Linked DNA regions of Lonchura striata. The protein of the gene in region 1 purifies or fractionates together with the protein of each later gene. This does not show direct contact. Links are inferred from orthologs where the notes say so. Each region holds a gene or a part of one and is shown in the gene's direction. Other genes may lie near its edges.

Region 1 (15,395 bases):
TGATAACATAGAGGCCCACACATGTGAGGGAACCGCTTTAGCAAACTTTTAAAGTGTTTTTCCATCACTCCTCTTACCAAACATACTCCGACCACGCAGCAGCTTCCACTGTTATGGCAAATCCCCAGAGAGGAGGCTCCTGGTCCCAGCACTGGTGTTGGGAGAGGAAAGCCCAGCCCTGAGCAGCAGCAGCAGCACACAGAGACAGCTCTCAACTTCACTCACGTTTCCTTGCAGCAGCGCTGTGGAAGAGCAGCGATCCCCCAGATCCAGAGTGGGGCACGACCCTAAAAATCCCACTGGACATTTTCCTTCCCGGCCAGGCAGCCCAGGTTTGAAAGTGAAAGCAGCTCCCTGCACAGGATGACGAAGCCCCTGAGTGATTTCATCCTATCACTGAGCTCCAGAACAGTTTCAATATTCCAAACAGTTTGCTTAAAGGTTTGCTGTCAGCACGGGGACTAAGGGGCAGATCCAGCCTGGAATTCCTCTGGAATTCATCATGTCTAGAGGTTACAGAGCACAACTTTCAGCTTCTAACAGCATGAGCTTTTTAGGCATTTCTCAGACCAGCGCTCCAGCAGGAAAATTCCAGTTGGGAACACACAAAGAACTGCTGTGCTGTAACCAGGATGGACAGAGCCAGGAGTAAGGGCTTGGATCACTGATAACTGCGATCAGGAGAGGTGAAAACAACCCAGTAAATGCAGCCAGCACTTCCTCCTGTCGTGTTCCACCCTTTGTTGGTGTATTTTAAATTGCCTCCGTTAAAGGAACACAGCCAGAAACCCAGAGACATGCCTGGAGCAGCGCGAGCTAAACCTGCCGATCATGAATTACCACGTGCTGGGAACAACAAAAACACCTTGGGAATGTGATCCTGCTCTTCCTCCTGCTCAGGGTTCAGCTCCCCTCACTCTGCCCACCCCTACAGAGCAGAGGTGGAGCCCCAAAATGTCCCCACCTTGCTCCACTCACTCATGAGCACCCACCAAAGCTGCAGCCGGAGGGAATTCTGCGGGATACAGTCTGGATGTAACTGCCCCAAAGAAATGGGAAGTCAACCCTACGGAACTCTGAACAGCCAGTTTTACTTCTCAAGCACCCAGGCACCTTCAAGTTCCTCTTTCATGCTTCTCCTTGATGTATTTTTGGGAAGTTCAGACCAAACAAGTAGATGGGAATAGGACTCAGTCCCGTCACCAACACAAAGGAGAACACCAGAGCGGAAAACGCGTATTATGGGTGACAAAAATGGAATCATTTCAGGGCATCCTAAGCCAGCACTTGGAGCCACCCTGATCTTCTGAATGCTTTGAGCATGGAAAAGGCTCCTGGGACACAAGGATTGCAGCCCTGGAGCTGGGCACAGCACTGCCAGGCTCCAGGGCAAATCCCGGCATCGCCTGGGCACCACAAGTCAACAGGGAGCTGCAGCGTGGAACAATCCGTGCCACCAATTAACTGAGGGAATTAGTCTGTAAGGAAAGGGAAGAAAAATCTGGATCATTCCAGAGATTCTTGCAAGCGCCGTGGCAGTGCAGGCAAAAGAACAAACCTGCCCTCCAAGGACAGCAGTTTCTACAGGGAAGAGCTTGATGCTTCGAGCAGTACTTGTTGCTCTTTGTCTGACACTCAGACCATACAGGAAAAAACAATCAAATACAGTTTTTTGGAGGGAAAAGTACCCTTTAGGAGAAAATATTAACTGCCCCCCAGAGATAAATTCCACCTATCCCTGCTTTTCCACCTGGGAGAACACATAGAACTATTTCTAGACAGGGCAAAAATGCCTCCCAGACACCACCCACGCTCTGCCAAGGAACTCGGCACATTCCTGTGTAAATCCATCCAGCATCACCCTCACACATCCAGCACCAACATTCCCAAACCACAAACACATCCCTGCAAGGCAGAGCTAGGGCTGAAGCAGTGGCTCAGACACCGGGTCCATGGAATATTCCCAAAACCAGGGCTTTGGGCACTCCCCAGCACAAGGCAGAGCCTGAGCAGGGCTCTCGGAGCACTGGGGCTGCTCCTCTTCCACAAAAAACTTGGCTAAGCAAGGTCAGAAGCCAAGAAAATGCAGGTCCCAGATTCCTTACACTTTTTCCCCAGTTTCTCTCCCAAGAGACACTTGGGAGAAACCCTCTGGACCTGAGCAGGTCCCAACGTTCTGTTTCACACACAGCCACTCGTGGTAGAAAAACCACTTCAGGACATCAAAGCCAACTTCCCTACGGATTAGGGCAGCCTTAAGGCAGATTCAACGTGCACCTGCTCCGTGAGAGGCATGTGTTCACTTTGATCACACCCACACTTGTGCAGACCTCGATTGTGTAACCAAAAAAGACATCAGAGTTTTAAGTTTTAAGCAGAAAAGTGTTTCAGGAGAGTATAAACCTCCCAATTAGGCCTGGAAGGCTTTCCTGAAGGATCCAGACTCTCATGGTGACAAGTCCCAGCGCAGTTTGCTCCTGTGCAGAAACCTCCCAGCAACATTCGAATGAGACGGGTACAGGCTTATTTTAGGAAAATGAGGGTGCAAACATCCAAAAAACAGACCCTCATCAAGTAAAGAGCTTTTGGCAGAGATAGCAGAGCTCAGGCTTCCAAAAGCTCCAGCTGGCAGCTTATGGAGCTCTGCAAAACCTGCATGGGACACACAGCACTCCCAACCCCACAGCATCAGTATTAGCACACCATTTTCCACTTGAACATTCCCACCACCAGCTGCTCTTGGTTCAGCCATTCCCGTACGGCTCAGGACGAGCTCAACTCTTGGATGACACGAGGATGATGTGCAGCAGGAACAGCCCCAGCGAGGCGCAGCCGACCACAGCCAACACCCTCCTGCCCTCCAGACTCACCCCAGGGCCAGTGCACGGACCAGAAAACCCTCCAGGGGTTGGGATCCCAGCTTTGGGTTGCCAGTGCTGAACCTGCAGGACCTGCCCATCTCATTTCCACTGTAAATCAAGCCTGCTAAGGGGGAGCCACAGTCTTTACACTGGAATTTATGGTTACTCTGAGGAGTTTTAGACCTGGCACTAGTATTTAATAAGGTGAAGCCTCTGGTATCAGCCCAGTTAATGGTCTGACATCACTGGTTCCAGAATGCAGAGACTCTGAATAGGGCCAGTACGGGCTGCACCACAGCAGAACCTCGGTGCATGATGGATTCATGGCTCCACACTGACACAGAGGAAGTTTGGATCGGATATTAGGAAATCCTTCCCTGTGAGGAGGATGCTGAGGCTCTGATTGCTCACAGAAGCTGTGGCTGCCCCATCCCTGGAAGTTGGAACCCTGGAACCCAAGGCCAGGCTTGGAGCACCCTGGCATAGTGGAAAGTGTCCCTGACCATGGCAGGGGGTGGAACTGAACGAGCTTTGAGGTCCTTCCAACCCAGACCACTCCAGGATTCTGTGATCGCTGTGCAGTTTTCACAGCGCTCCGTGGAAAAGCAGCTGAAGAGGGAGTCAGAAACACGAGGGTTCCGTGGCTGTGGCCACCCGGGCTGTACCGGGACAATTCCCCATCCGGACAGGGCTGGAGGGGTCCGGGCTTTGCTGCGATCGCAGCTCCAGAGGCTCCGCAGCACCTCCGGCTCTCTCCGGTGCCGGCACAGCCCCGGGCCCCGCTCCACACGCGGCACGGACACGCGTGGGGGACACGGCTGGCGGCAGCGGGGCCGGCCCCGCCGTCCCCACAGGCTGCTCCGGGCCCGGCCCGAGCCCCGCAGCCCCCGGACTCCCCGCGGCACCGACCGACGGACCCGGGACGGGCCCGGCCGGGGGCCACGTCCCCAGCGAACCCCCCCAGCCCGGCCCCCGCCCGCGGAGAGACCGGGCCGGCGGCGGGAAGGCGCGGGCCCCGGGGGCAGCGAGCGGGCGGCCCTTACCTGTGTCCGGGGGTGGCGGGCTGCCGGGGTCCCGGGCGCTCCGCGGCTCAGGCTCCCGCCCGGCCGCCGCCGCCGGGCGCCGCTTCCGGGTCCGCCATGCTGGGAGGGCCGCGGAGCTTCCGGGGAAAGGGAGGCGGCGACCGAGCGGGAGCCGGGGAGAACCGGGAGCGGGGGAGTGGGGAACAGGAGAACCGGGAGCGGGGGAGCGGGGATGCGATACCGGGAGCGGGGGAGCGGGGATGGGGGAACCGGGAGCGGGGGAGTGGGGAACAGGAGAACCGGGAGCGGGGGAGTGGGGATGGGGGAACCGGGAGCGGGGGAGCGGGGATGGGGTACCGGGAGCGGGGGAACCGGGATGGGGTACCGGGAGCGGGGGAGTGGGAATGGGGTACCGGGAGCGGGGGAGTGGGGACGGGGTACCGGGAGCGGGGGAGCGGGGGAACCGGGAGCGGGGGAGCGGGGAACAGGAGAACCGGGAGCGGGGGAGTGGGGATGGGGTACCGGGAGCGGGGGAGCGGGGATGGGGGAACAGGGAGCGGGGGAGCGGGGATGGGGTACCGGGAGCGGGGGAACCGGGAGCGGGGGAACCGGGAACGGGGCAGTGGGGAACCCCGGGGCAGTGGGGAATGGGAGAACCGGGAACGGACAGCGGGGAACGGGAGAACCGGGAACGGGGGAGTGGGGATGGGGGAACCGGGAACGGGGGAACCGGGAACGGACAGCGGGGAACGGGAGAACCGGGAACGGGGGAGTGGGGAAGGGGGAACCGGGAGCGGGGGAGTGGGCAACGGGAGAACCGGGAACGGGGGAGTGGGGAAACGGGAGAACCGGGCCCGGGGCAGTGGGGAACGGGAGAACCGGGAGCGGGCAGTGGGGACGGGAGAACCGGGAGCGGGGGAGTGGGGATGGGGGAACCGGGAACGGGGGAGTGGGGACGAGAGAACCGGAGTGGGCAGCGGGAATGGGAGAACCGGGCCCAGGGGGGTGGGGAACGGGAGAACCGGGCCCGGGGCAGTGGGGAACGGGAATGGGAGAACCGGGAATGGGGGAGTAGGAACAGGAGAATCGGGAGTGGGCAGCGGGGAACGGAAGAACGGGGAGTTGGGTAGCAGGGAACGGGAAAATGGGCCCGGGGGCAGTGGGGAACGGGAGAACCGGGAGCGGGGGAGTGGGAACGGGAGAATTGGGACTGGGCAGCAGGGAACGGGAGAACCGGGCCCGGGGGCAGCGGGAACGGGAGAACCGGGCCAGGGTGGCCCTGAGTGATGAACAGACAGCGAGGCCCGTGCCTCCGGAGACCGGCAAAGGCTCGGGGCAGAAGGAACCCACGGGGCAGAGGGAGCCTCCGGGGCAGAAGGAATTAAATGAATCACAGGGCTGGAGAACTACCTGCTCTGACCATCCCAGGCTCCTCACCCGTTTTCCCCACACTGGGCCTTTTAATATTTTTAATTTCCCATTGCTTGCATTGAATTCATGCCACCTTTGGAGTCCCAAGGTAGGAACAAAATCCTGAGGGGTCACACAGAAGCCTCCTGGATGGGTCTGTTTTTACACCAGCACAGGAGCAGCCAGAGGGAACTGATTTATCCCCAGGATAGGAAGTACTGGCAGATGGGAACCACATTAACACCGGGTCCTTGGGAATGCTGGGTGTGTGCCAGAGGCAAAGGGGGAACCAGGAAGTTCTGTGCCGGTCCGCTTCTCCCATTCTTTATTCATTTGCATATAGTGATTAATCAAGGCAATCCTGCCACATTTTCCAACATCCTTCTTACAGGGATCTTTCTTCTAAATCCTCCCCCCCAGCTCTTTATTTGGTGTTCCACAAATACAAATAAATACGCACAGTGGGAGAACACACAGGGATGTATCCAGCACCAAATCAGCCTCCTCCTAGAACCACCAAATCAGGACTTCCCTTACCAGGATCTCTTTCTCCTCCCACCACAGCCGAGACCCCAATTCACACAGAAACCCCAAGACAGGCAATGAAGCAGAAGTGATGCTGAGCTGGGAGCACTGAGGCTGTCCTGTGCCTGCCCTGGTGGAAGATGTGGGGACATGGCTGAGTTGTGTCCTGGTCTGTTTGCCCCTTTACAGGAGCAATGTCCCTGGAAAAAAGCCTGGCTTCTCCAGGAACAGCCCTTCCCAGGCAGCTGGTCCCTGTCAGACACCCAGTCTCAGGAAATGGGGACAAAGATGGGCGTTTTTGGGCGCTGATCCCATGGGCTCAGCTGCAGAGCAGCTCCACATTGGGGTGTGCCGGGCTGCTGTCACCCACTGCCACTTCCTGTTTCTTCCCAGAGCCTGGAAATCCCCTGACTTTCCGTGGGGTGAGGGCTGTGGAGCCATGCTGCCAGCTGGCCCTGTGCCCCCAGAGCTGTGGGAAGAGGCAGCCAGGGGACAGACCCTGCCCTGTGCAGGGTCCTGGCAGTGCGGGGCTGGCGCTGTGCAGGGGGCATGGATGGGACCTGGCAGGAACCGTGCTGGGGTGCCAGGGTCCCACAAAACCATTCCATGTCTGAATAAACCCTTCTGTGCCCCCTTGGCCGGGTTGTTGGGCTGTGGAGGGTGAGGGGACAGCTCCTGCAGTGCCCCATGTGCCACAAGCTTGGCAGGTGTCAGCCAGTTCCCCTAGCTTGTGACGTCCTCACTGGATGCTGGTGCAAATATTTGGGAAAACCCAAGAGCCTCTGGCTTTGCCTGATGCATCCACAGCCCCAATGTGGGACAGGCTGAGGGGTTTGGGGGTACCTGGGGACACCCCATGTGAGTTCTTGGCTTGCCCTGCTCCAGTGACCCATTCCTGCAGAGTCGAGCAGGATTTTGCCTTTGGAGGGGGATCGTTCTGTCACCCTGGTGGGAGAGGGAGCAGAACAGGCAGTGGGATGGGCAGGGAGCAGCGTGTGGAGTGCCAGGAGCTCCTCCAGCCGATTCTGCCCTCCCACTGCTGGGAACACCTCGGGAAGGGGATGCACAGCACTTACCAGAATTTCGGGGATGGGTTCCAGAACTTTGGACTCGGCGCCAAGCCTGGAGTAAATAAATCACCCAGGGCCAGGGGCTGTGGTGACAGAAGCCGTTGAGGGAGGAGGGAAAGGCGGTGCTAGCGGGATTGGAGAGCTCGGCAGAGCAGCCCCCTCCTCTACACTCCCTCTTCGGAGCCCTTGGAACCTCCTCCCGAACCTTCACAGGCTCAAATTCCTTGAACAAACCAAATTCCTTGAACAAACTGGAGCGTCGCAGTGCTTTGACCCTTTGGGGACCCAGGGGGCCCTGATCCTGCCCAGGCCCCCCCAAAACGGGCTCAGGGCTCTCCCACCTGTGCTTTGGAATTCATGCAGAGCTAATGGCTCTCATGGAAAGGAAGAATTCAGGGATTTGTCCTGCCCTGCCTCAAATTAACTGGTCAGCTCTGGGAGCTGGTGCTCCCCATTGCAATCCCAGCTGAATCCCTTTCGCCAAAGGGTTTCACAGCGGGGCAGGAGGCGGCCGCAGGGGCATCGCGGTTCCTCTGAGCTGGCACTGCACAAACCCCATCTACCGGCACCGGTTACCGACGTTCCCGGCGGGAGCAGGCACGGCAGAGGCCGGAGCTGTCCTACCGCAACTCCCCGAGCAGGACAGGGGACTCCGGTATCCGGTGAAACCGGGAGGAGACCCCTGAACGCCGCTGCGGGGGGAGCAGCGTTGTGCAGCCCGATCCTTCCGAGCCCCCGGAGGGTGCCCGCAGGAGAAGCGTCTCTGCGGCGGCCGGGGCCGTGAAGGGGTGGCGGCCCCGGGAGAAGCCCATTCCCCCGGGCCGTGCCGGGGTCTGCCCGGGGCGCTGGAGCCGGGCGCCGTTATTTTGGGGATGCCCTCGCAGCTGCTTGGCTGGACTTGAGCACAGCTGGGCAGGAGGGGACGAGGTGCAGCCGGCACCGAGCGGACACCGGGGGGGAGCGGGGCCACCCCAAACCCGAAGCGGCAGCGGAGCGACCCGGGCGCGGCAGGCGGACCGCGAGGGCGGCGGGGCAGGGCCGGTGCCCGCCGGGGCAGAGCCGGTGCCCGCCGGGGCAAGGCCGGAGCCCGCCGGGGCAAGGCCGGTCCCCGCCGGGGCAAGGCCGGAGCCCGCCGGGGCAAGGCCGGTCCCCGCCGGGGCAGAGCCGGTCCCCGCCGGGGCAAGGCCGGTCCCCGCCGGGGCAAGGCCGGAGCCCGCCGGGGCAAGGCCGGTCCCCGCCGGGGCAGGGCCGGCTCCGTGCCCGGTCCCGTCTCCATGACTCCCGCCTGCCCTTTGCCCTCCACCCTTCACGTCCCACCGCCCCGCCTCCGAGCGGTGATTGACAGCGCTCGCAGCCTATCATATCGCGCCGCAGGACGCAAGCCCCGCCCTCGGTCGCGACGGATATTTCCAATGGCCTATCACATATGAAGTTCACGTGAATCCCCGCCTCTAATAGTGACTGACAGCCCGGTTAACCTATCATATCGCCCCGCCGCCGGCCGGAGTGGGTGGGAGGGTTGCTTGTAACGAACCAACCGGAACCCGACGTGGTGCGGCCGCAACCAATCAGCGCTCGAGCGCTCGGGGACGGGGCCGACAGCGTGGCCAATGGGGGCGCGCGCCGGGGCGGCGCGAGGCGCGGAGCGGGGCGGGGGGGGGGGGACGGAACGGCGGGGGCGGGCGGGGACAAGATGGCGGCGGCGGCGGCGGCGGCGCGCGCGCGGCGGGGCGGGCGGTAACGGGGCAGCGCGGCCGGGACGGGGAACGGGACCGCGGCAGCGCCAGGGGGCAGCGGCTGACGGGCGGCCCCTGAACTTGGTGGGGGACACGGGAGGCGGCGGCTCGGCGGGGCGGAGCGCGGCGCCGGGGCCCGGCCCGGCTCCCCCGCCTGGCGACGGGGAGGGGGGACTCGGCCCTCAGCCCCCCTCCCCTAGTTCACCGTTTGGACCGGCGGGAGCGGCCGGAGCTGCCTGCGGGGAAGGACCCGGCCCGGGCTGGGAAGGGCCCGGAGGTCACCGACCCTCCCCCGGGAGTCCGCCCCGTCCCGGCGCTGATTTTGTGGCGCTGAAAAGTGCCCCGTCCCCTGTCCCCCCTCTCTGCTCCCCCGCCGTGCCCTGCCAGCCGCGGTGACACCTGTGGGAAGTGCGGGAGGGACCGTCCGGGCCGGGTGGGCATCCCTGAGCCCCGTCCGTGAGCGGCCGGTCACCGGGCGGCCGGTGCCCCCGGGAGGAACCGGGAGTTGGGGCAGAGGGTCCCCCTGACCCCCCCCGGGGTCGGCGGGGCCGGGCTGGGTTGTGTCGTCCTGCACCGCTGACACCCGGAGCAGAGGCGGTGACACATCATGTGCCAGGCGGAATCCCGGTGGATGAAGGATGCCCCCGGGAGCTCTCGGTAGGCACCGAAGGCCTCAAACTTTTGTAGGCGACAGCGAAGACGCAAGAATTGTTTCGGAAAACTCCTTCGAGGAAACTTGGTTCCAGCTCCCCAACGGCTGAACCCCCCGCACCCCGCCCGGGCCGTGGGAGCACACCTGCCCACCCCAGCTGGGAATCATGAGCTCCTAGGGATGGAAAGTCACGAGAGGGACTGGGAGCTGCTCTGGTTCCACGGGGTGGCCTGACGGCCTGGAGATGACCTAACTCTTTAGGATCAAACTGGGCCCAGTCAAGGCCAGTTGACTGGGAAGAGCCCCCGGCAGCGGGACCGGGTCGGAAGCAACGTGAGTCCCAAACTGAGTGTGTCCCGTCACAGATTTATGTTCTTTTTCAAAGACGTTCTGGAGCCAGGCCGGGATCTTTTGGCATCCAACTGACCTGGAAGCAGCTCTTAGGTTTGGTTGTTTTTTTTTTTTGCCTTCTTTTTTTTGGTTGGTTGTTTGTTTTTTTTTTAATTATTATTCATGTTTGTACAATCTTCTGGATATTTTTTTCCCGAGAAGGAGTAAAAAGGGAGTGTTGGAAACTTAACAAACAGGATTAAAGCCCTGAGCGCTTAAGGAAAAAAACAGGTTAAGGAACTTAATCCAGGATGGATCTGCAGGAGCCCCAGCAGCTGGGAATGTTTGCTGAGAGCGAGCTGATGTCGGTGGGGATGGACACGTTCATCCACCGCATCGACTCCACCGAGGTCATTTACCAGCCCCGGCGCAAACGGGCCAAGCTCATCGGCAAGTACCTCATGGGAGACCTGCTGGGAGAGGGCTCCTATGGCAAAGTCAAGGAGATGCTGGACTCAGAGACCCTGTGCAGGAGAGCTGTGAAGATCCTGAAGAAGAAGAAGCTGCGCCGGATCCCCAATGGGGAGGCCAACGTGAAAAAGTGAGTAAAGAGTTCTGGGAGCCGAGGGGGTGAACTTGGTCCTTGCTTACCAGCTGAGCTCCTGTGTTGTTTTAGCTGACAGCATGGCTCTGCTGTGGAAATGCTTCCTAATCCACAGGTATTTAGGGATCTCTTCCCTCTGAACAGCAGCCAATGCTCTGGGTAAGGCTGGGCACAGGGAAGGGACAGGTTCCCAAGGTCTGGGACAGTCTGGAATACACCACTTTGGTGTCATTTAATGGATAAAATATTGATTCTTAAAGCAATTCCTCTGTGTCCTCTCACCTTTCCCAGCCAGCTGCACCTGGGCAAGGTGAGACCTTACAAACACACTTGGTGTCCTCACAGGGTTATTCCTGTATCTGCCCAGGTGTGTTCCAAAGGCCCTGGAGATCTCTGTGGTGGCAATTCCTCCTCCCACCCATGTGGAAGGTGGCTGGAACAGGATCCAATATATGGGGCACCCCATGGGCACAGGAAGTTTTGGGTTTTTTCCTTGGCTTCATTTCTAAGATCCTTGGGAGTTTACTCAAGGCTCTCCCCAGCTGATTTCTGTGGCTGTAAAATGGGGCCAAGGGTTGTCAGCTCTCTGTGCCTCCACCACACCTGGTTACTCAGGGCACAAAACCCTCATGGAAGTGAACCCCAGGAGAAGCCAGATGTGGGGCTGCATCCGTGGGGCTGGTGTGGGAACTTTCCCTTCCCTGGACCTCGCAGCAGCTGCGTCCCAGCCCTGCCAGGAGCTGCTTATCAGCTGTGCAGGAGCCTCTGCAGCCCAAACAACCCATGAGGGTTTATCTAGGCTGGGAGGGAGAGCTCCGAGAGGTCGAGGAAACTCTCCTGGTGCTCTGCTGCGGGTGAGCCCTGACCTGCAGAGTCCTGTGTCTGTCCCTCAGTTTGATTTCCCAGTTTAGCCGTGGGATATTTCACATCCTGTCCCGGGACTGCTGTCAGGGTGCTCTCTCACTTTGCCTTCCAACCTTTTTTGACAGCCTTGGCTGTGGAACAGTCACATCCCAAGGCTGGGACCTCCCTGTCTCTCCTTTCCTGGCTCAGGTTCAGGAGCAAGCAAACTTGGTTAATGTGTAATAAAATGTTTCTTGTTTTTCTGGTGGAGGCTGAGAGCCCCGTCCCTGGGTCCCTCCACGGGCACATCCAGAGCTGCCACTGGGGAACGTGCAGATAGTTTCCTCCTTAGGGAAGCTTTCAATGTAAATTAGGTAAAAGAGCTTGCCCACATCAGGAGAGTTCCCTGCTCTCAGAGCCATGGGAATGCTCCAGTGTCCTGACGTGAACTCCTGGAGGTTTTATTCACGCCCAGAATGGGGCTGTGAGTATCAGATGGGCCATTAAGGGAGTTATTAAAAGGGGCTTTCTGTGGATGTTTCCTGGCTCAGCCCCACCTGCTCCAAAACACCAAGGCAGATTTTAGGTCTTGCCTTGTACCCAGGGGTTTACTTTAGTTCAAGTTCTTATTTCTGTTCCCTCATCCTTTTCCTTCTGCCCACCTATCCGTGTGCTTTATCTGCTGCTTCAGTGGGGAATTTTAAGGCAAACTGTTGTACTTTGTGGTTCCCTGGTCCCCCTGGCACTCTGAGCTGATCAGCACTGCTGTGAGAGGGAGTGCACCCTATGTCTGCTCTGGGTATGAGATCTGTGACCAAACCCGTGTGTCTGAGTTGTCAATGTGGGAGGAACAGGGTGCTGTGGAGTCTCCAGGTAGTGCTGGACAGGACACTGACACAGTATTTTAATGTCAACATGGCCAGATCACTGTGTTGGAGCAGCTTTGAGGAGTTTATGCCCAAAAACTGCTCCTGTGCACAGGACAGCAGGAAATCAGTTTGTGGGCTGGATCAGTTTGTGGGTTCTGCTTTCGCTTTTGGAATCTGATCACTGAAGTGGTTTCCAGCGTTTCCTACCACAGGGAAAAGCTGCACATGAGGCTTGGGTTGTTGGGCAGAGGTGATTGAGTTACTGTGGTGGGCTCCTGCCTCTGCCCCCTCACAGGGCACCTCAGTGCTGCTTCAGCTGTGCTGATAGCATGTAATCCAAGGAATTCCGTGGAATACAGTTCCTAGACAGTGGCCCCTGGGTAATTCCACAAGCAGTAACACACAGGGAGGAATGAGAGTGCAGTAATGAGCTGTGGAGGCTCATACAGGTCTGAGCTGGAGATGTTTGGCTGGAAATAGGATGATAATGCCAACCTTAGGTCACTCCTTGTTGATATCCCAGGCCACAGCCTCATCTCTGCCCCAGCCCTCTCTCCTGGTGTTCTGGAGACCCAGAAATTACAACTTAAATGTGTTTGGGACTTACATCAAATCAAATGCTTTTTCTCTACCCCAAAATACTCCACTTCTGCCCCAGAAAAATGAGCCCTGAAGGGCTCTCCAAGTCATGGAGAGGATGTTGAGGGCTTGAACTTTTAAGACACAGTTTCCTTAAATCTGTTGGGAGAATCTTCATTTCTCTTTAGAGCAGGTGAAGGTGGCTCAGTCAGGCAGACACTGCAGAATCTCATCCCTGCAAAAAAAAGGAGTTTAGTGGGATTGCCAAAAAGAGGCAGGAAAACCTGGCAGCCTGTGGCTGCAGCAGCAACAGAGGTTTAATAATGCCGTGTGCTAATAGCCTGACACGTTAATTAAGTGTTTGGGGCTCTGTGGGATCCCAAGTGCCCTGTGCTGTACTTACCACCTCGGCAATTGCTCTGGTTGGAATTTGTGCTCCTTGGGAATTCCTCGGAGGGTCAACCTGGGTTATGGGGCTGTGCTGGGACAGTTTGTTCCTGGGGTCTGCAAGTCCCATGCTGGAACCTCCAAACAGGGGAAGGACTTGCTGGAAGCCCTGGAGGTGTGAGCTCAGGGAATGGGCTGATCCCTCCTCCTCAGAAATGTTCCCCGTGGAGCCGTGTGGCTCAAGGGTTTCCTCTGCTCAGCTGGATGTTTGCTTGGGTGAAATGCTGGGACCTGTACTCCAAGGAAGAGCACAGATTGTGATGGATACAGAACTTGGAATGCCAGACATCCCTGCAGGAGCAGGATGTGGATGGACCCTTGGGACTAGGAAAGAGAAAAAGTGACACCGAAATCTTCCTGGCACTTCCAGCCTTTGGGCTCACACAGTCCTGGAGAGGTGCTGCACTTCTAAAGCTTTTAGGATGTTGTGGGAAGAACCTTGTGGAACCAAAGGCAGGGAATGAATCTTTTGGCTGTGTTGCTGGGTTTTGTTGAGGCAGGAATGGCTCGGAACAAGCTGGATCTCACAGTGGAGATGTCCAGGAAGTTTGCTTTCCTGGCTGCCTTTGGCATGTTCCAAAGTGGTGTGGCACATGGAACAAGGGGGAAAGCTTTGCTATTTACAGTTCTGAGCAGCAACACCCCCTGTTATTTGCCAGAGCTGGTACCTTGCAGGGGATAAGTCTTAATCCACCAGGATGAGCTTAATGGATCTGACAGAGCTCGAGTTAGGTCTTTTCCCCCCTCGTCTCCTTCCAGTGGGTTGTACTTGGAAGCAGGTCTTGTCCTCTGGCAGTCTGTCTGGTCACACACTTGCAGTGAGCTGTGGTGGAGTTTTGTTGGTAGTTTTGAAAGAAAAAAAAAAATCAAATTTAGGCCTGTTCTGAGAAGGTGAGACCTGTGCTCCCCTACTCCAGGGGTTTGCAAAGTGAGATGGGATCGGAGGTGACTGGGCTGGCTGTCCCTGCTCCTCAGGCATTCCAGAGCAAGAGAGGAGCTAAAAATAGAAGTAATCTTTCCTCTGGGAAAAGGGTGGCTTGGCCTCTGCCCCAGTGGTGGGGGCATGGCCCTGGCGTTTTGGACTGGTTTGCAAAGGCCTCCTGGGGGGGGAAAAATCATTACAGAAATATGAGATATTTATTAGTCTGTTGAAGGTGGGAGGAATTAGTGTTTGTGCTTCCGGGCTGTATTACAGGGAATGAGCTGTTGGGATCAGGATTTTAAATGTGTTCCAAACACTTGGGCCTTAAAGCAGTTGTGTTTGAGTGGGTTTGCTCCCCTCTGGCAGCCCTGGTTGGAGCCCTCGGCCCTTTCATGCTGCACGATCTCCTCAGCTCCACACTGACAGTGGCTGCTGTTCCTTGTGCTAATTTAATCCCCTTCAGCCCTTTGGTCATTCCTATAATTAGACTTGTCTGCCATGTCCACACAATACTTGGGAGTTTTGCTGTGGTATCTTGGGTCTCTGCTCGGCTCTTGGTGGCTTCTTCTAAATCCAGAGCTGAGAAAGAAGTCTCTGGCCTTAACTTTGGTAGTGAAATAATTCATACTGCTCAGGCATCCGTAAAAGATCAGTAAGGATTCTCCTTGCACTCCTGCATCAGAGAAGCTCTTTCCAAGGAGCAGCTCCTGGTTGTTGCTCAGCCTTTGTGCGAGCCCCAGCTCATTACTGGAGCTGCTAATTGTGCCCGTGAGGGGCTCTGAGCTGGCTTTGGGCAGGGGCTCTCACTTCCAAAGCTGTGCTCAGAATTCCTTGTAATGCTGCTTCCCAGTGGCTGAGCTGATGAAGTGTGACCACACTGCTCAAAGCACTGGCCAAATCTCTCTGGAAGTGAGCTGGCAAGGAGAATTTGGAAGCTCAGCACAGCCCAGGATGGAGCAGCAGCAGAACAAAGTGAAAAGCAGGACGTGCACTGCCAGGCACCAACAGAACCACCCTGACCTGACTGTCCTGCTCTGCCTGTTTCTCCACAGCTGGCATCCAGTGGGATTTTGCAGGATGAGTTTAATGCAAAAGAGACTAAACCGTGGTTTGGGGCAAGTACAAAATCCCTGGAGACAAAAATCAGAACAGCTGACAGTAGGTGACATTCAAGGGACTCCTCCCCAAGCCAAGGGAAGGTGGCTCCTCACTGTTTTACCTTATTTATTCCCCACAAACAAAAGATTCAGTTCAGGTCTCTGAGCCATTCAATCAAGCTGAGTTTGGGTGAAATTTTGGAAGAGATGGAGTTGGGAATAAGCTTTTTCAATGTAACTTTTTCCTTGTCTATTCCTGCAGGGAGATCCAGCTCCTGCGGAGATTACGGCACAAAAATGTCATCCAGCTGGTAGATGTGTTGTACAACGAGGAGAAGCAGAAAATATATCCTTTTGCACAGGGCTGTTGATCAGGTTTGAACTCCCACTGTTCTCTGCTGTAGTTCTGCTTTTGGAAAGGCCCTTTT
Region 2 (16,212 bases), on another chromosome or scaffold:
CTATACTACACTAGCACTGCCCCATTAGGTACAACACATGAAGTTCATTCTAACTGAAACAAAAACCTCCCACAGTACACTGATTGCAGTGAGGTATTTAATTTCAAAAAAATATGCTATAATGGCATAGAAAATTTTGTCCTGAAAGCTTAGTTCACTATGTGGCTTCTGCAATCATGATTCTTTTCAAAGCTAGACCACAGAAATGAAAACTAGAGAAAAACCTTAAGACAAAAAAGTGCAGTGCTTTAAAGGTAGTGCTGTCAAGATCTGAACAGCAGTGAAAACTGCTATGGCCACTACCACTTTTTAAACTTATCTAGGTTGGCTTTCTTAATTTTTTACTCAAGTAGAGCATTAAAACAAAGATAGTCTAAGCAGTTACCTTGCAGTGATTTGCAGGAAAACATGCTTCTAGCTGCAATCTCAGCAGTTCTACCAGCTTTAAACAGGACAACACTCCACAAGTACAGAATATATTCACTTGCAGAAGGGCTGAGCTTGAAGATAAATAGCTCACCTAGAGGCAAACCAGGATTTGATTCAAGTTCCTTCAAAAACCACTATTAACACCTCCTTCCCCCTTCAATCCTAGATACTAAAGCACTTCTGCATTCTTTTTGGGAAAACTTAAACAACTATGATTGTGCAATAGCTGACTGACCTTTGTGGAATGAAATTCCACATTAAGATTTTGAGTTGAGATCAATTCAACAGGACAAATAGGAATTTCTGTGGAATCTTCATCCCTGCTCTAGTACCGTGTGGGTCACTTCAAATGCAAGCTGCTCAGACCTCTGAGGTCTCATATGTCATAACATAACATAACAAGAGCTTCTGAGACACAAACTCTTAAGTTTCATTAGCTGTAGGTAAGAAAGACAACAGCTTTGGATAAGCACTTCAAAAAAACCCCAAAAACTTACAGACAGGACTAGCCAGAAAGAAACATTTCAGTGACTAGGACTACACTGTATCTCTTACAACCTTTGTTTTCAGTACGCTGAAAGTGGTGCAGCGATGTATTGACACTGTATCTTATTCTATCCCTGGAGAAGCTTTATTGAAGGTAAGATGCCAATGCCGCTTAGGAAGAAGAGCTCTGCGTGCACTCTCCATGCTGCTCACTGGGAAGTCTATTCCAGTGCCCAATCCCTCTCTGGGGGAGGAACCCTTTCCTAATACCCAACCTAAACAAGCAGCAGGCCTTGAGAAAAGCCCTAAATCCGTCTTTACAGAATACTCTTCTAAATTTGATTTCCATGGCAGATATGCTCAACCACCCATTGAACAAGTCAACACTGTCCGAGTTGACACAGATCTAGAATGTTCATCTCCTTCTCAGAATTACTAAGTGAAGAAACAATAGTATGCAAAGACTTAACTGTATTTTCTCATGGAAAAAAGCTGTTTGGCTTTTTTTAATGTAGGAAGATCAAGCTCTTTACTACATCTAAAACCAATTTGTATATACAAATGAAGCTTTTGTCAACTTTTTTTTTTGGACAGCTTTTGTCAGTTCATAATTTTGATTAACATATGGCAGGACACTGGAGCTGACCTGTAAGTTGGCTGGTTCTCTGTGTGACTCAGCTGCCCTAGTTCATCACTACACAGTGAACAGCACCACACACCCACAAAGAGCTGGACACACCTGAATCACAGGCTGTCACTCTGTAAATTCTCCCACAAACCAGCTCAGGACACACACCCAAACAGCTCTGTGTCAAACCGTACAGTCCATTGAAACCAACTCAGCAGCAGCAATAAAACTTGAAAATAACTATGGGATGTTGTTCGTAAAATTTTATAGCATCTGCATTTATCAATGCCATTAAGAATTTTAGTTAAGAATCCAGGACATCAAATTTGTCAAAACCTTTTATTAAACCTACTTCTTCTTGCTGACATAACATCAAAACTCACCTTCCTGCTCAACAAAGAATGAGCTCTTATTTTTCCCAGTCATTCCAAATGGCAAAAATTCACAAGTAGTCTCCCTCTTGCCTATTTTCTGCTTCTCTCTTGGGGAAATGCACTTTTTTGTTTGTTTGTTTTTGTCCACAAGAAACAGGAGTGACAAACTTTGCCAATATCATTGACTGCAAAACTGACTACAGCCTTGCTGGTCATTGCAGTGTAGCTAGTTCACACTATTGGCACCAAAACTAATCTCTACAAATGGAAAAACACCCACTGGTCATTTAATGGTCCAGGAATTCTCCCAGCAAAGAGAAAACTTATTTTAGGAGAAGATTAATGCATAACAGCACAAGGTTCATAGTTCCCAGAGATTCTTGACTGCTTGCTAATGCAAAGGATTTAGAACACCTACCTATGCAAAGTAGAATCAAGTCACCGTTTAGAAAGTGAAGGTCACTTGTTTGCCTAAGTTGATTTCAAGAGGAAAACAAATCCTTTTATTGGGTCATTTTATAAGCAAAACAAACTAAAGAACAGGCTAGGTAATCTCCTTATTTGCCGTGTTCTCATATCCCTTTTTGACAAATACAAACAAGCACATCAACTATTTCAGGCAACTGAAATTCACAAAGAACACGAAAAAATAGGAAATGCAGTTCTTAAGAAACTATTGACACCCGACATGCTTTCATTCGTTAGAAAAGCCTCCACAGAAGTATATATATAATAAAAACTCACCCTGCTCTGCTGACATGTTGTCAAACAAAAGAGCACAATTGCATGTAGGTGATCTTGCTGTACTACATTTCTCCTAATTAACTGCCATTCTTCAATTTTGCTATTTTTTCCAATAATGGGTAAAACAGTGTCATTCATTTTAGGCGTCCCCATTTTCTTACTCTCTCTGACACTCCATGCTTTGTCTCTAAAACTGAAAAGTTTGTTTTGTCATAAAGCAAAGAATTACAAAATCACTCAGCACTGTGTTTTTTCAACAGAGAGGCTTTTGTTTAAGCTTACTAAGCTAGATATGCTTTAATAAAACACGTGTCATGAAACTAGGAAAAGATGAATCCATGAGGAAGCTATGATTAACAAGGGTAAGTGGAAAAATTAATCACCTAAGACTGCAAACTCACCATGTTTGCATATGTAATAGCAGAGTGAAAGCATTAACACAGTAACAAAATATGTATGTGGAACACAGACAAAATTTCCATTCTCTTTCCCAATGCCCACATAAGACAAGTCATGGAGGCAGTTTGTCTACATGCTTCCCCAAGGATCGCAGCTCTAGGTTTAGAAAATACAATACCAATGGCATACAACAGGAAGGAAAAAAACTCAACATCATTCCTTATCAGATGCTGAATACATTACCAGTGTAAGTATCCAGTCTTTTTTCCAACAGTTACAAGGAATATTTAATACCAGGTGTTCTTCTACCACAAATTAACCATCTATAGTCACAAAATAGTTCCCAAGGCAACCATAATTCCCTCAACCAACGCACACCATTCCCTTTCCATTACTCTACATTCTGCTAAGTGAGTGCTTGCTGCCTGAGACACCGCACAAACAACTGTGTGCAGCAGATCAGAAGAATGGGCAAGGTACACAAATCAGCAACACCTACATGTTTAAACTGACACTTGTAAAATGATACGTACATGAGAATTTTATATTACACAGTTGAGGTTTTTGGGTTTGTTTCATTTTTTTTTCCATGGGAAGATAGCTTAAGCTCATGTTCCCACTGCCATGTTTATAATGGTGGTGCTAGCTGATTTCTTTTTAAGACTGGATAGAGGAAAAAAAAAAACCAAACTTGTCCACATACAAGTTATGAAGAGATCCTTCTTCCCTTGGCAAGTTCTGAGTCACTTATGCTTCCATTATAATTTTAAAAGGAAAAGAAAAAGCTGAAACTCCTTATATGTCAATGAACTGATAATTATACACTAATAAAAAAAGCACCTGCTACAATTTTATAGGACTTAGTATGAGCAATATCCTAGCAATACCTTTATTGCACAGTTACTTCAAACACCATCATTTGCTACTTTGTGTGTACACGAGCAGCAGTATTACTTTCCCTGTATTTCAACTCCTTCTGTGCTCTATGCCAGCACTGCTGCTAAAGGTCTCCTGTCCGCCTTCAGCATCTGCCTTTTTGTTTCCATCCATTTTCCCTCCTTGTGCTAGCAAACATCTGTATAACTGAGAGCTGCAAGAGCAACCCAGATGAAGGAGCCAGGCAGGAACAAAGCCATCCAAAACCAACTGTAGGTTGTCACAAACCCATTTTCTCCATGCCACTGACAATGGTGTCCAGCCCAGGAAGAAAACAAGTCAGTCCCTAAAAATGGGGATTCTGTAGGTACCTAGAACGCATACAACAGATTAAAGCAGAGCCCAACACCAAGGGCATACCCCTCACATGGGCAGCACGTCCAATAGCAGGATAGCTTCTGAAGGGGAGTGATGCACAAATTAAGGAGCTGCCAACCTACATCCAGATCTGGAACATGGGAATCTCTACTTCACATAGCTTTGCACCCCATGACTAAGCGATTATTTTGTTAGTCTCCCTCTTTCTTGTGCAAGAATATTCCTTTGCAGATTTCTAATGTTGTCAGGTGAGCAAGCCTAGTCACAGGCTGTACTGAAAGCCACATGTTGCTTATCAGCTTTCTGAGCAACTGAGGAAACCAAGCTATTCATCTAAAAGGCCTGGCAAAATACAAACTTTTGAAACAAGAATTCAAGAAACATTTTCCACTTCTCTTTGGGAGCTCCTGAAAATAATTATAATAATAAAAAACCTGAAAAAAAAATCAGAGTCTATCTCCTAGGTACTTGCTATGAAGAGGCCCACCAGACCCTTGCACTGCTGTAGTGCACAGCCTCTGCAGGACATTAGGATGTGCTTCTCACAGCATGTGAGCACTACCTCTATAGCACATATAGAGAACAATCACACCAAGTGACAGATAAGGAACCACAGTTTGTTGCTGAAGCAGAAATCAAAACACAACCCCTCCAATCTACCTTAGCTCTGATGTAAGGGAACAAGCCAGTGTAAGGGAAAGGAACCTAAGGGGCTTTGAGGGTTTTTCCAAATCTAAAATAAAATATATTGTAATTCACAAGATAACAACATCTCTAAGGCTGAATTCTGACAGTACTCTTCATCATCACCTTTCTTATACACCTGTGGTTTGCCGGTACTCCACCTGAAAGCATTTAAAACTTCTCAAGAATCCTGACAGAACTGTTCAGAGCCTTTAGTTACAAGCAATCTGAGCTGGACATCAAAGTATAAGCAAACCAAACTTCAGCAGATAGTTCTTGATATGTAAGCTGAACAAGCAGCCCTGCATAACACACTGCTGTAGCTTATGCCATCACAACAAGCATAATGTACATTTTTATCCCATTAGGAAGGCTGGGCTGCGTTTTCAAACACACTCTCCAAGCCAGCCTGTAAGATTGTTTGGCCTACAGAGAAATACAACCACACATCTCTCTCTAGGTTGGTGCAACTCTGTACAGGGCATGTAACTAACATGTAACTCAGTGATAGAGGTGTAAACTGGATATCCTGACAAATAATAATTTAAAAAGAAAAAAACACAAGTCTAAAGCATTTTATTTCACAAAAAGATTCCACTGACAGAAGAAATATATTCAGCTGATATCCTACTATTCTTCTTGCCTCCAATATGCCAGCAGCTATTGTGAAGAAGATAACCACATACTCAAGGATTGAGTAACCTGATTGTTATTGCCAGTTTCATGTAAACATTGCAAAGAACACTTCAAGTTATTTTTCTATAGTCAGTATTTCCTACAGCAACCTTAATATATTTCAAGAAACTGTTCAGAAGGATGAAACTAAGGAAAGGTAATGAAAATATCTGTCCTTTCCTCACCTGACATCTTAATTCTGAGAGCTTTCCTCCTGATTACAGTATATTTCAGTGGACAGTTTCATGTGGTCTCAATGCCACAGGCTTTCCAGAACCCAAATCCTCAATATCAAGCATAATTAATACATGACATGCTTCAAATTCAAGCCACAAACAACTAAAAACAATCTGAATACTGATATACCTCATAACAAGCAAGATGGTGACAAGAAAACTGGGACTAACCCAAAAGATGGTCTGGCTACATTCACAGAATCGTCAAGTTTGAAAGGCACCTCTGGAAATGATCTTGTCCTACCTCTCTGACAAGACAAGGCCACTTGGCACAGGTGACACAGGACACAGACCACAGAGATTCCACAACCTCCCAGGGCAGCCTGTTCCAATGCTCTGCCACCCTCAACATAAAGTTCTTCCTCATGTTGAGGTGAAACTTCTTGTGTTTTTGCTTATAGCAATTTATCCATATCCTGTTGCTGAGCATCACCAAAACTCTGGCACCATCCTCTTGGCACCCGCTTTTGAGATATTTATATGCATTAATGACATCAGTCTTCTCTAGACTAAACAAGCCCAGCTCCCGCAGTCTCTCTTCATACGAGAGATGCTCCAGATCCCTTATCATCACCGTGGCCTCCACTGGCCCCTCTCCAGGAGTTCCTTGTTTTTCTTGTGCTGAGGAGACCAGAAGCGGACACGTTCCCTTGGAGCTGGGGGCTGTCCCCAGCCGGGCAGCGCACGCCCAGGCCACAGCTGCGCGCCGGCACGGGGTGAGCTGTGGAAGCACCGCACCCGCTCCGCGGGGCACAGCCGGAGCGCGCATCCCGCTGACACAGCCGCGGCGTCCTCACCCCCCGGGGCCGCGCCCCGCTCTTCCCGAACTCCGCATGCCGGCGAGCCGCCGGGCCCCGGAGCCGCCCGACTCGCTGCCCCGGGCCGGGGCACCGGGCCCCGCCAACCCCGGGCCCGGCGCGGCGAGCCCCGGCGGCCGCCGGCCCCGCGCGGTGCGGCCGCTGCCCCCGCGCCCCCCGGGCCGGCTCTCACCTGGCGGGAGCGGCCCGGGCCCGTCAGCGCCGGCGGCCGCCGCCGCATTTCGAAAGATCCGCCATTTTCAGCCCGTCACCGCCGCTCCCGCCCCCGCCGCACCTGCCCCCGCCGCCCCGCCCCGGCGCCGCCCCCGAGCCGCGAACCCCAGCCCCTTCCGCACCGGCGGGTCCCGCGCAGACCCCGCTCCGAGGGGGAACCGCGCCGCTCCGCGGGGGAACCGCGCCGCTCCGCGGGCCGCCGCGCCCCCGCGCGCAGCTGGCCCCGGCGAGCGGCGGGGAGGCGACGCGCCAGGCGGGCACCCCCGCGGCGGAGAGGCGGCCGGGACCGACTGTCCGCGCCATCCCGGGGAGCCCGGCCCTCCGCAGGGAGAGCGCCCGGCGAGGCCGGGCCTCTTCCTTCCCGGCGGGAGGTGGCTGTCAGCCGTGCCCGCGCCCCCTTCCCTGTCCTCCCGCCGCCGCTTTCCCGCCCCTCGCACTCACCGGGCGGGCGGGCGCTCTTCTTCTTCCTTCGCTAGCGGCGCCTGTCGCCGGTGCCGGCGCCCCCCGGTGCTGCTCCCGGCGGCCGCGGCGGCGGCGGCCGCGCCCGCGCCGATCCCGCCGCCGCGTTTGTTCAAAATCACGCGCCCCGCGCCATTCCCCCGCCACATCCCATAATACCGCGCCGCCCTGGCAACCGCCGGCGCAGCGCCCCGCGCTTCCGGGACCGCCCCTCCCCGCCGTCCGCTTCCGGGGCCGCGCGCGGGCGCCACCCGTGGAGGAGGAGGCGGCGGTGGTCCGGCCTCATCCCACTCGCGGTGGAAATCCCGTGGGATCCTTATCTCCGTGGGATATCCCCCCCCCAGCCCAACCAACCGCGCGCGGGGCCGGCCCGCCCGCGCCCCTCCCGCGGCCTGCGCGCGCTCCCCGTCACGTGACACGCGCGCTCCCCAACCCCCCCCGGCGGCGCGCGCGGCTCCATGGTGGGGGGAGGCGGCTCCCAAGATGGCGGCGGGCGCGGTGAGGCAGGACTTGGCGCAGCTGATGAACTCCAGCGGCTCCCACAAGGACCTGGCGGGAAAGTGAGTTGCCGGCCGCCTCCGCTGCCGCCTCCCCGCGTTGGGGCGAGCGGTGCGAGCCGCCCGCGGGGTGTGGGGGTGAGGGTGGGTCGTGTCCAGCGGCTGCGTTTTCTGGAATAAAAGAGGAGACAGAAAGGTTTCACTTCATGGCTGTGTGGTTTTTTTCATTCACGGGCTCCCAGGTGTCCGCTCGGCCTCCCTCAGGGCTCTGCTGCTGCCCCTGGGTGTGCCACAGCGAGAGGCCGGGGAGTTTGTTTTCCTCTGCTGCCGTGTGTGTGTCAGCGACCCTCCTGTTACTGTGAAGAATTATTACCTTTTCATTAGGCGCCTGTTTTGGACAGGGGTTGGGCTTCTCGTGGTGCGGTGTGTCACATAGGTTTTCACTCCCAGGGTGCAGTCAGAAGCGGATCTGTCACCTGGAATTCTTTGATTCCCTGCCCAGTTGCTTGTGTTCTAGGGGGGCTGTGTCACTTGTAGGATTTTCGTGTAAAACCTTGCAAATTTTCCCCTCAAAACGTGGCTTCCACGTGGATGTAGTACTTCATCGGTGTGACACACACTGAGGAAAAGTTTCATTAGCTTGCTGAAACAATAAAACACAACTTAGTGTTTTTTGCAAAATAAACTCTTGAAAACACGTGGGGTACACCTGTGTTGGTGTCACGTGGCTGTAACAATATTTATCACAACACTATTTCTCAGTCACATTGAATATGGCATTTTGAACATTTGATTACCTTGATTAATCTGAATCTATGAGCAATACAGTTTTCATTATTTTTTCAATGTGCTATCCTGGGCATTTTATTATTATTATTATTTTAAACTTACAAAATTGCACGTATGTTCTTAGATAACAAAATTATTGAGCTCTGTCATCTGAGAATCTAGTCCCGGGATTTAAGAAGAGCCAAGTACCAATTCCAGGTGAATGTTCATGACACTTGGGAGCAAACTGGAGAATTGCCATCTCAAGGTATAGGAAATATGAGCAAAAATAGGGCTCTGACATAGAAAGTACACAGAGAGTCAGAAGCTCTTAGTGAAAAAATGTGTGGTTTTTAACACCTTTTTAAAATTTATTTATGGACAGGTACCGTCAAATATTGGAAAAAGCCATTCAGCTGTCGGGTGTGGAGCAGCTTGAAGCTCTGAAAGCTTTTGTAGAAGCAAGTAAGTGCATAAGTGGTGTGAGTGGTTGTACAGTGAGTGAAGGCCAGAGCTATGTGGGGTTGTGTATTTGTGTCTGTTAGCTCTACATGAGACTGTGTAAATGCAATGTACTTTTGTCCTGTTGGAACTCAAACACAACAGGAAGAGGAACCCTCATCACCACATCCAGAAGTGAAGAGGGAATGGGTTTGTAAGCTTTGTGGTTATTACAGCTTTCCAACCTGTCAGCAGTGAAAGGTGAAAACAAAGCAGTCTCTCTTGAGTGCTGAAGTTTATACTGGATGCCAAGTGGTATTTAAACTGACAGCCTCTTTCTTCATCCATTTGTAAAACTGCCAAGAAATTGTTAGGGGTTTTGTTTGTTTGTTTGTTTGTTTGTTTTGTGTTGTACTGGGTGTCTGGCTTGTTGAACATCTCTGTAAATTATATCTGCTATAATTTTTAAAGTTGAGAATAATCTCAATGAGCTTTAGCCCAAACAGGTACTTTGTCCAAGATATTTCAGTAACCGAGGACTATAAATCAGATGAAAAATTAATTTATCTGCCAGGAGTTATAAGTCTGGTGACCTCTAGTGTAAACAGTTTCTGAAAGAAAAGAATGACCCACCTTTATAAAAAAAAAGAAAAAAAATCCCCTTTGTTTGCATAGTTTTTAAAATTTAAATATTCAAATTAAATGTAAAAGCAAATTATCACCTGTAGTGAAGGCACTGCAAAATTTTGCCTCTATTCTGTGTTTTTCTTCTGTGCATCTCTGAACCAGTGGTGAATGAGAATGTCAGTCTGGTGATCTCACGGCAGCTGCTCACAGATTTCTGTACACATCTTCCAAATCTCCCTGACAGCACAGCCAAAGAAATTTACCACTTCACCTTGGAAAAGATACAACCCAGAGTTATTTCATTTGAAGAACAGGTGAGAGATCAATGGTGAGATGGGTTTTGGCTCATGGGTTTGGCTTTAGTTTTTCCCCTCCTTGTCTGCTGACTATTTCAAGTCTTTCAAAAAGCTGCTCAAAACAGCTATTTCTACTTAGAGTCTGGTTTTTCAGTCCTGTACATGGAAAACCTGAGCTAAATGCAGAGAGCACTTAGGACTGTGCAAAGATTACAGGCTGTCACTTTATCATGGTGATGGACACATAATTCCTCTGCTTCCCTAATTGGCTTGTTACAATGAAAAAGTCCTTGAGCTGGGGGAGGTGTCTGGAGAGACAGGCTGCTACTCACTGTATTGCCTTTTACCTGAGCAGTAGAACAGACAGGTGGTGTGAAGAGCATGCACCTTGAAAAATAGCTTTTGTTTCAAAATAAATAAATTTTCTCTGTGTGTTTATTTTGGCCATAATCATTTTATCAGGAAAAAATATTTTCTTGGAATGCAATTCTGCTTAACTACTGAATATGCTGGTTTGCTTTGTCAGTTCAATTCTGTGTTTTGTTGTCCAAATGCATAGTATCATCTGAGAGTTCTTAGAGAAATTGTTTATATAAAAAGGCCTTAGGATCTATTATTGGAGTAGAAAGTCAAGGCAGTTTCTGCCATGATTTTTATTTGCTTCTCTTTGTCTTTTTTTAAGGAGCTTTTACTCTGAGCTAAACAGGCTTGCATGTGATTCACCATGTGATTCATTCATCATGCATAAATTAAATCCAACACATCAGATGATTTCTTTTTTTTTACCCACACTTCTGGTTAAAAACCCAGGTTGTAAGCACTAATACTTTACCTGCTGACAGCTGCCCTCCAAAGCAGAAGTTTCTTCATTAGGATCTAATCACACATCACCTCATTCCTACTTCACATGCATGATTTGAGATGTAACTGCAAGAAATGGCTTGTGATTCTTGGTGTTCCAGTTCGTGAAAGATTTGTTTAATCTTTTTAAAAGCTTTATCAATGATGATTACTTTTGCTGTTGATTTTATTGTCTTTCAGGTGGCTTCAATAAGGCAACATCTTGCATCAATCTATGAGAAAGAAGAAGACTGGAGAAATGCAGCACAAGTGTTGGTGGGGATCCCTTTGGAAACTGGGCAAAAGTATGTTATACCCAGTTCTGTGGGGTTAGCTATACCTGCCCTCTCTGTACTGAACTAAACCTGCAAGTGAGAATTTTGGGGTTTGCTGCACCAGAAGTTACCCACTATTATTTATTCTTCTTGATAAACAAGTCTTTTTGATAGTACTTTTGTGGAAGTGTTTCTAAAGTTACTGAAAGGTCCTTGGAAGGTGGCAGTTTTTCAATGCGTCCACCTTCTCAGTTCAGAATTAAGAGATGGTTTGAAACCAGATTTGGATATTAACCAATGTAGTTGGGGATTCTTTTGTGCGTTTGTGAGGTGAGGTGTGTTTTAGTTTAGTTTGTTTGGGTTTTTTAGGTGTAGAACCCTTGCAGTTAGTTTTCTCTTGTCAGTCAGTCCTTTCCCCTTTCTCATTGTGCACATAGAAGGAATTGCTGTAGGTTTTGCCTGTTTGGACCTATTTGTTGCACTGCAAGGTTGATTCTTAACTCAAGTGGCTCATCACTGGTGGCAAACTTCAGAAAAAACTGATTATGAGAGTGTACATTTGTGTCTTGGTGGGCATCATTATTTCTAGTGGTGTTTGCAGGAGCCAGTTCTGTATTTGCATTCATTTCAAATTTCCTTACTTTGTACAGAAAGCACTAACTTGGCAGTAGGGAAGAAGAAAGCAGGGTAAAGCGAATGTTGCCCAGTGCTTAAGAATCATAACAAATGTTAGAGCAGCTAAGAGCAAAGGTAGTTCTGGAACAACTCTGAGACTTGCTTTTTTCTTTCTTCTACAGGCAGTACAATGTAGATTATAAGCTTGAGACCTACCTGAAAATTGCCAGGCTGTATTTGGAAGATGATGACCCAGTTCAAGCAGAAGCTTACATCAATCGAGCTTCCCTGCTTCAGAATGAATCAACTAATGAACAGCTGCAAATCCATTATAAGGTTGTCTAACCTGCTTTATTACTTTCTCTTTCTAAAGGGAAACAATTCTACCTTGAGGTGTTTAATGCACTGCCACTAGAACTTTCATCATGAGAAAAGAGACAAAGGGAAAAGCTATATGGTTTTGGGAGCTTGAGAGACACATCTTAACAGTTATTAAACAGCTCATTCCTTACCATTTGGAAATAACTCTGTAATGGTTCCATAAATGCCAGCTTTACTGATAGAAAATAAAAACTAGGCTAAAAAAATCTGAAATATTGTTGAAAATATTGCCTCCACCTTTGTCTATAAATATAAGTGGGGGGAAAAAGCTACAAAAATATTAGAGACAGTAGTACCTCCCACCCCCCACTAATTAAGTGTCCCATACATAAAAGTAGCTTAAAGTCTTAAGTAGTAAATTGACTGCTGACATTTCTGCTTTTTTGTGGGTTTACTGTGTACATAGTTCATACACAAATTTCTCAAACCATTTTAGTAACTGATGAGCAGTAATTACAACAGTGTAGCAGAATTGGTCAAGATGTGGTAATGTTTAAAATTCTGTGACACAAAGCAGATGTGCCATGAGCAGTAATTCAGCATTTGGTGGTTTTTGTTTGTTGACTTCCCTTTCCTTTTTCCTTCATCCTATATAAGGTTTTGAAGTGTGCACTCGGTTGAAAGTGTAAATATTTTCTGTGAATCTTAGAAAAGCACAAAGAAAGGAAGAGCTATCAGGTGATGTTCCTGTGCTGAAAGGGAAAAGCAAATACTTGAAACATAAATGGCTAAGGGGTAGCTGTCTGTGCCAGTAGTGAAGGGGAAACTCACACAAGTGCAGTATCAGCTGTACAATATTTCAATTGCTTAGGCTCAATACTTGGCTTTTCAACATTTGCAATGTTTAACATGTGAACAGTGGTGGGAAATGTCCTTTCAATTGATTTCCCTGATACTTTAGCAAGGACTTGTCAAGTCAAGCTAATTCTTTGAAGGCACACATTTCCCTAGGACGCAGAAGAGCAATATTTATGGGAGCAATCACTTGACAGTGTGCACATTTTACACACCTGTGTTATGCAGCCACCTCTGCTGCTTTTCTTTTTCTGAGCTGTCCTTCCTTTCTAGGTTTGCTATGCTCGAGTACTTGACTACAGAAGGAAGTTCATTGAGGCTGCCCAAAGGTACAACGAGCTGTCCTACAAGAGCATAGTCCATGAGACTGAGCGGCTGGAGGCACTGAAACACGCGCTGCATTGTACTATTTTGGCATCAGCAGGTAAAATACACCTCACATTTTTGTGTAAAAGGTATTTCCCATGAAACAAGTCAGCTTGTGTATTATTTGTATGACTAAAATTTGGTGAGGAATCCAAAGCTGTGAACACGATGTCAGAATTACGTGTTGGCAAACTGTTAGCTCAGAGTTGGATTAGTTCAGTGTCTTTGCCTTTGAACTGAACACAGCCAAATTCCTTCTTCAATAGAGCTTTGTGGGCTTTTATTTGCATGCATTGGGGAAAAAAGGTAACTTCCTCCTGTTTACCTCTAAGTACTTAGTGTTTTGGTGGTCAGTTATGAGAATTCCTCTTGACTTTCCTAGGACAACAGCGCTCCCGCATGCTTGCTACTCTCTTCAAGGATGAGAGATGCCAGCAGCTTGCAGCCTATGGGATCTTGGAGAAAATGTATCTCGACAGAATTATCCGTGGAAATCAACTGCAAGAGTTTGCAGCTATGCTAATGCCTCATCAGAAAGCAACTACAGCTGATGGTACACACTTCTCTAAAACCTTGTAAGGCTAGATGTTCATCCATGGGAGTTAGACTTCCCAAATCAGTCAAGAAGTGTCATGGAAAAGAATTTATTATTGCTTATATCATCATTTAAAAAATATTTTTCAGCATGTATAATTATATAGTAAAGCTTCTTAGATGTAGTTCATCTTTCTGATTTGCCATTAAGGTTTTGAAATACTCTTCTGGAAGATAACTTGTCACATTTTCTTTCCCTGTCCATGTGCAGTCCTCTTCACTGACAACTTCCCAGTGTTTCTGATGGAGTATCTGTCCTCGCAAGCTTCTCAGGCACTGTTAAGAGTAGGGTGCCTAGAAACCTGTGACATGCATGCAGGCCATAAATGGTCTGCACTGATGATACATTTATTGGAACTGGTTCGTGACTTCACAGGAAGGTGACGTGGTGAGGGGATGGTTTGGCCCTTGCATACGTCTCCACTGACATGCCACTAAATCTTGAACATCTGAACAGTCAGAAAAAGTGTCAAGTAATGGCTTAGCTTGTATCCTAAACACTCTGGTCTCAGTTTTCTAGCTTGGAAGAATGTGAAAGTGGAAAAATACATAAGCATTAAATACCTCTGAATCAGGAAAACCTTCCTAGTTAAAAAATAGTTATTGATTAGGGAAAATAAGTAACCATGTACTTGCAGAAGTGAAAACTGTGTTAAAGGTACTTGCTAGCAATATGCTGCATTCCTTCCCTTGGTGACTTTGTTTATTTTATAACCTGTACTGTTTGTCCTTAAACAATGCAGGTTAGCTGGTGTTTAATAATACGCTTATCTTCAGCTGGAGGTTAAGGAGGAAATGAGTTATACTGTTGAAAACTGTTCAGTCAAAGAGAGAGACATCAGATAAGGGTTTATCACAAGCAGAGTAAGAGACAGGTTAATTGTACCCCCAAGAGCCATAATGAATAGTAAGAAAACCCTCAAGGGTCTTTCCACTTGTCAAGCTAAGATCACAGGAGGTCAAACCCCCTCAATTCAGACAGTCTTGTAGCTTCCAATTCTTCACTTGTTTAGAAATTAAAGGTTTATCTGTTTTAAAATCAGCCATGTGCCATCCATTTGTTTCTGTCTGCTGTCTCTGCACAGCTTAACAGTGATCCAAGGCAGATGCATCTGGACCTTCTGCACATGTAACACTTCAGAAAAAGAAAGAGAAGCATTTTTTGATTTGCTGTACTATATAAACCAATATTTCAATCTTACAGTAATGTTTTGGGGTTTTTTTCCTCATCTAACCCTAAAGGTTCCAGTATTCTGGACAGAGCTGTTATTGAACACAACTTACTATCTGCAAGCAAACTTTACAACAACATTACCTTTGAAGAGCTTGGAGCATTACTAGAGATCCCTGCGGCCAAGGTATCTCTTTCCTGTCTCTTTCTTTTTTTTTTTTTTTTTTTTTTTTAAACAAGGAGCATGAATGGCATGAGAAAACGTCTCTGGTAAATATTAGGAAAATTAGTTAAATATTAGGGAATAATTCAAGATTCCATGTTATGAGGAATGTTAAGTATCTAGCACATCTTATGAGAATGAGAGTGGCACAATGTGGTATGAACAGCAGTAGAGTTAGATGCCACTGATTGTCTAATCATTTAATGAGTGCTGTCTGTAGGTTCTTTTCCCCCTCCCCCCCCATATGTGAATCTGGTTAAAAACCCTTAAGACTGTTAAGTCTGAATAATTTCTAATTTCTCTGAGAATGAGCTAAGTTTCTGACATCTGTCCTTGTTATTCTAGGCAGAGAAGATCGCTTCTCAGATGATAACTGAGGGTCGCATGAATGGCTTTATTGATCAGATTGATGGAATTGTTCATTTTGAGAGTAAGTGCAACCACAGTATTATTTCTTTTTTTAGCACCTTTCAGAGTGAGCTTTTTGAGGTGGTCCCTGCCAGGGTAAGGGAAATAAGTTTATGAATAATCCCTTTTGCCTGAAGTGAGCTTGCTCGTCCTGCTGTAGCCAGGAGGTGGCAGAGTTGGCCATAAAGGACAACCTTTGACGCTTCACCCACTCCCTGCAGAGGTCTTTGCATCCTCTTACCCACAGGAAAGAGTGAATTTATTCCATCAGTCTCCTTCTAGGAACAGGTTCACTTGCAAGTTCTCTGTTCCAATCTGCTTCAGTGCGGGAGTTAGGCTTGTAACAGGCAGCCAAAATAATTGCAGCTTTTGAGTACAGAAGTGATCCTGGTGTCACTGCAAGGAAAGCTTCCTCTGTGAGCTAGGTGAGGGAAGTGGCAAAAGGAAGGGTTGCAGTTGACAAGGCAAGGGAATTGCTAAGACTTAACTTTGTTTAATATTGGTTGTTTTTTCTTT

What was found.
Region 2: the proteins of STK11 (region 1) and COPS4 purify together in Homo sapiens (affinity purification with mass spectrometry; 4 studies listed by BioGRID and IntAct, with this or other methods). This does not show direct contact. The link is inferred for Lonchura striata from reciprocal best matches to the Homo sapiens genes STK11 and COPS4.

Annotation. Positions count from the first base shown.
Region 1 is NC_134630.1:6,449,599-6,464,993, reverse strand, and holds the start of STK11 (serine/threonine-protein kinase STK11), read left to right. Parts: upstream 1-8,999; 5' UTR 9,000-9,917; coding exon 9,918-10,207; intron 10,208-15,229; coding exon 15,230-15,313; intron 15,314-15,395. UniProt on the Homo sapiens protein: Tumor suppressor serine/threonine-protein kinase that controls the activity of AMP-activated protein kinase (AMPK) family members, thereby playing a role in various processes such as cell metabolism, cell polarity, apoptosis and DNA damage response.
Region 2 is NC_134606.1:60,964,950-60,981,161, forward strand, and holds the start of COPS4 (COP9 signalosome complex subunit 4), read left to right. Parts: upstream 1-7,796; 5' UTR 7,797-7,882; coding exon 7,883-7,959; intron 7,960-9,049; coding exon 9,050-9,129; intron 9,130-9,894; coding exon 9,895-10,046; intron 10,047-11,069; coding exon 11,070-11,173; intron 11,174-11,940; coding exon 11,941-12,094; intron 12,095-13,207; coding exon 13,208-13,358; intron 13,359-13,682; coding exon 13,683-13,853; intron 13,854-15,136; coding exon 15,137-15,252; intron 15,253-15,633; coding exon 15,634-15,718; intron 15,719-16,212. UniProt on the Homo sapiens protein: Component of the COP9 signalosome complex (CSN), a complex involved in various cellular and developmental processes.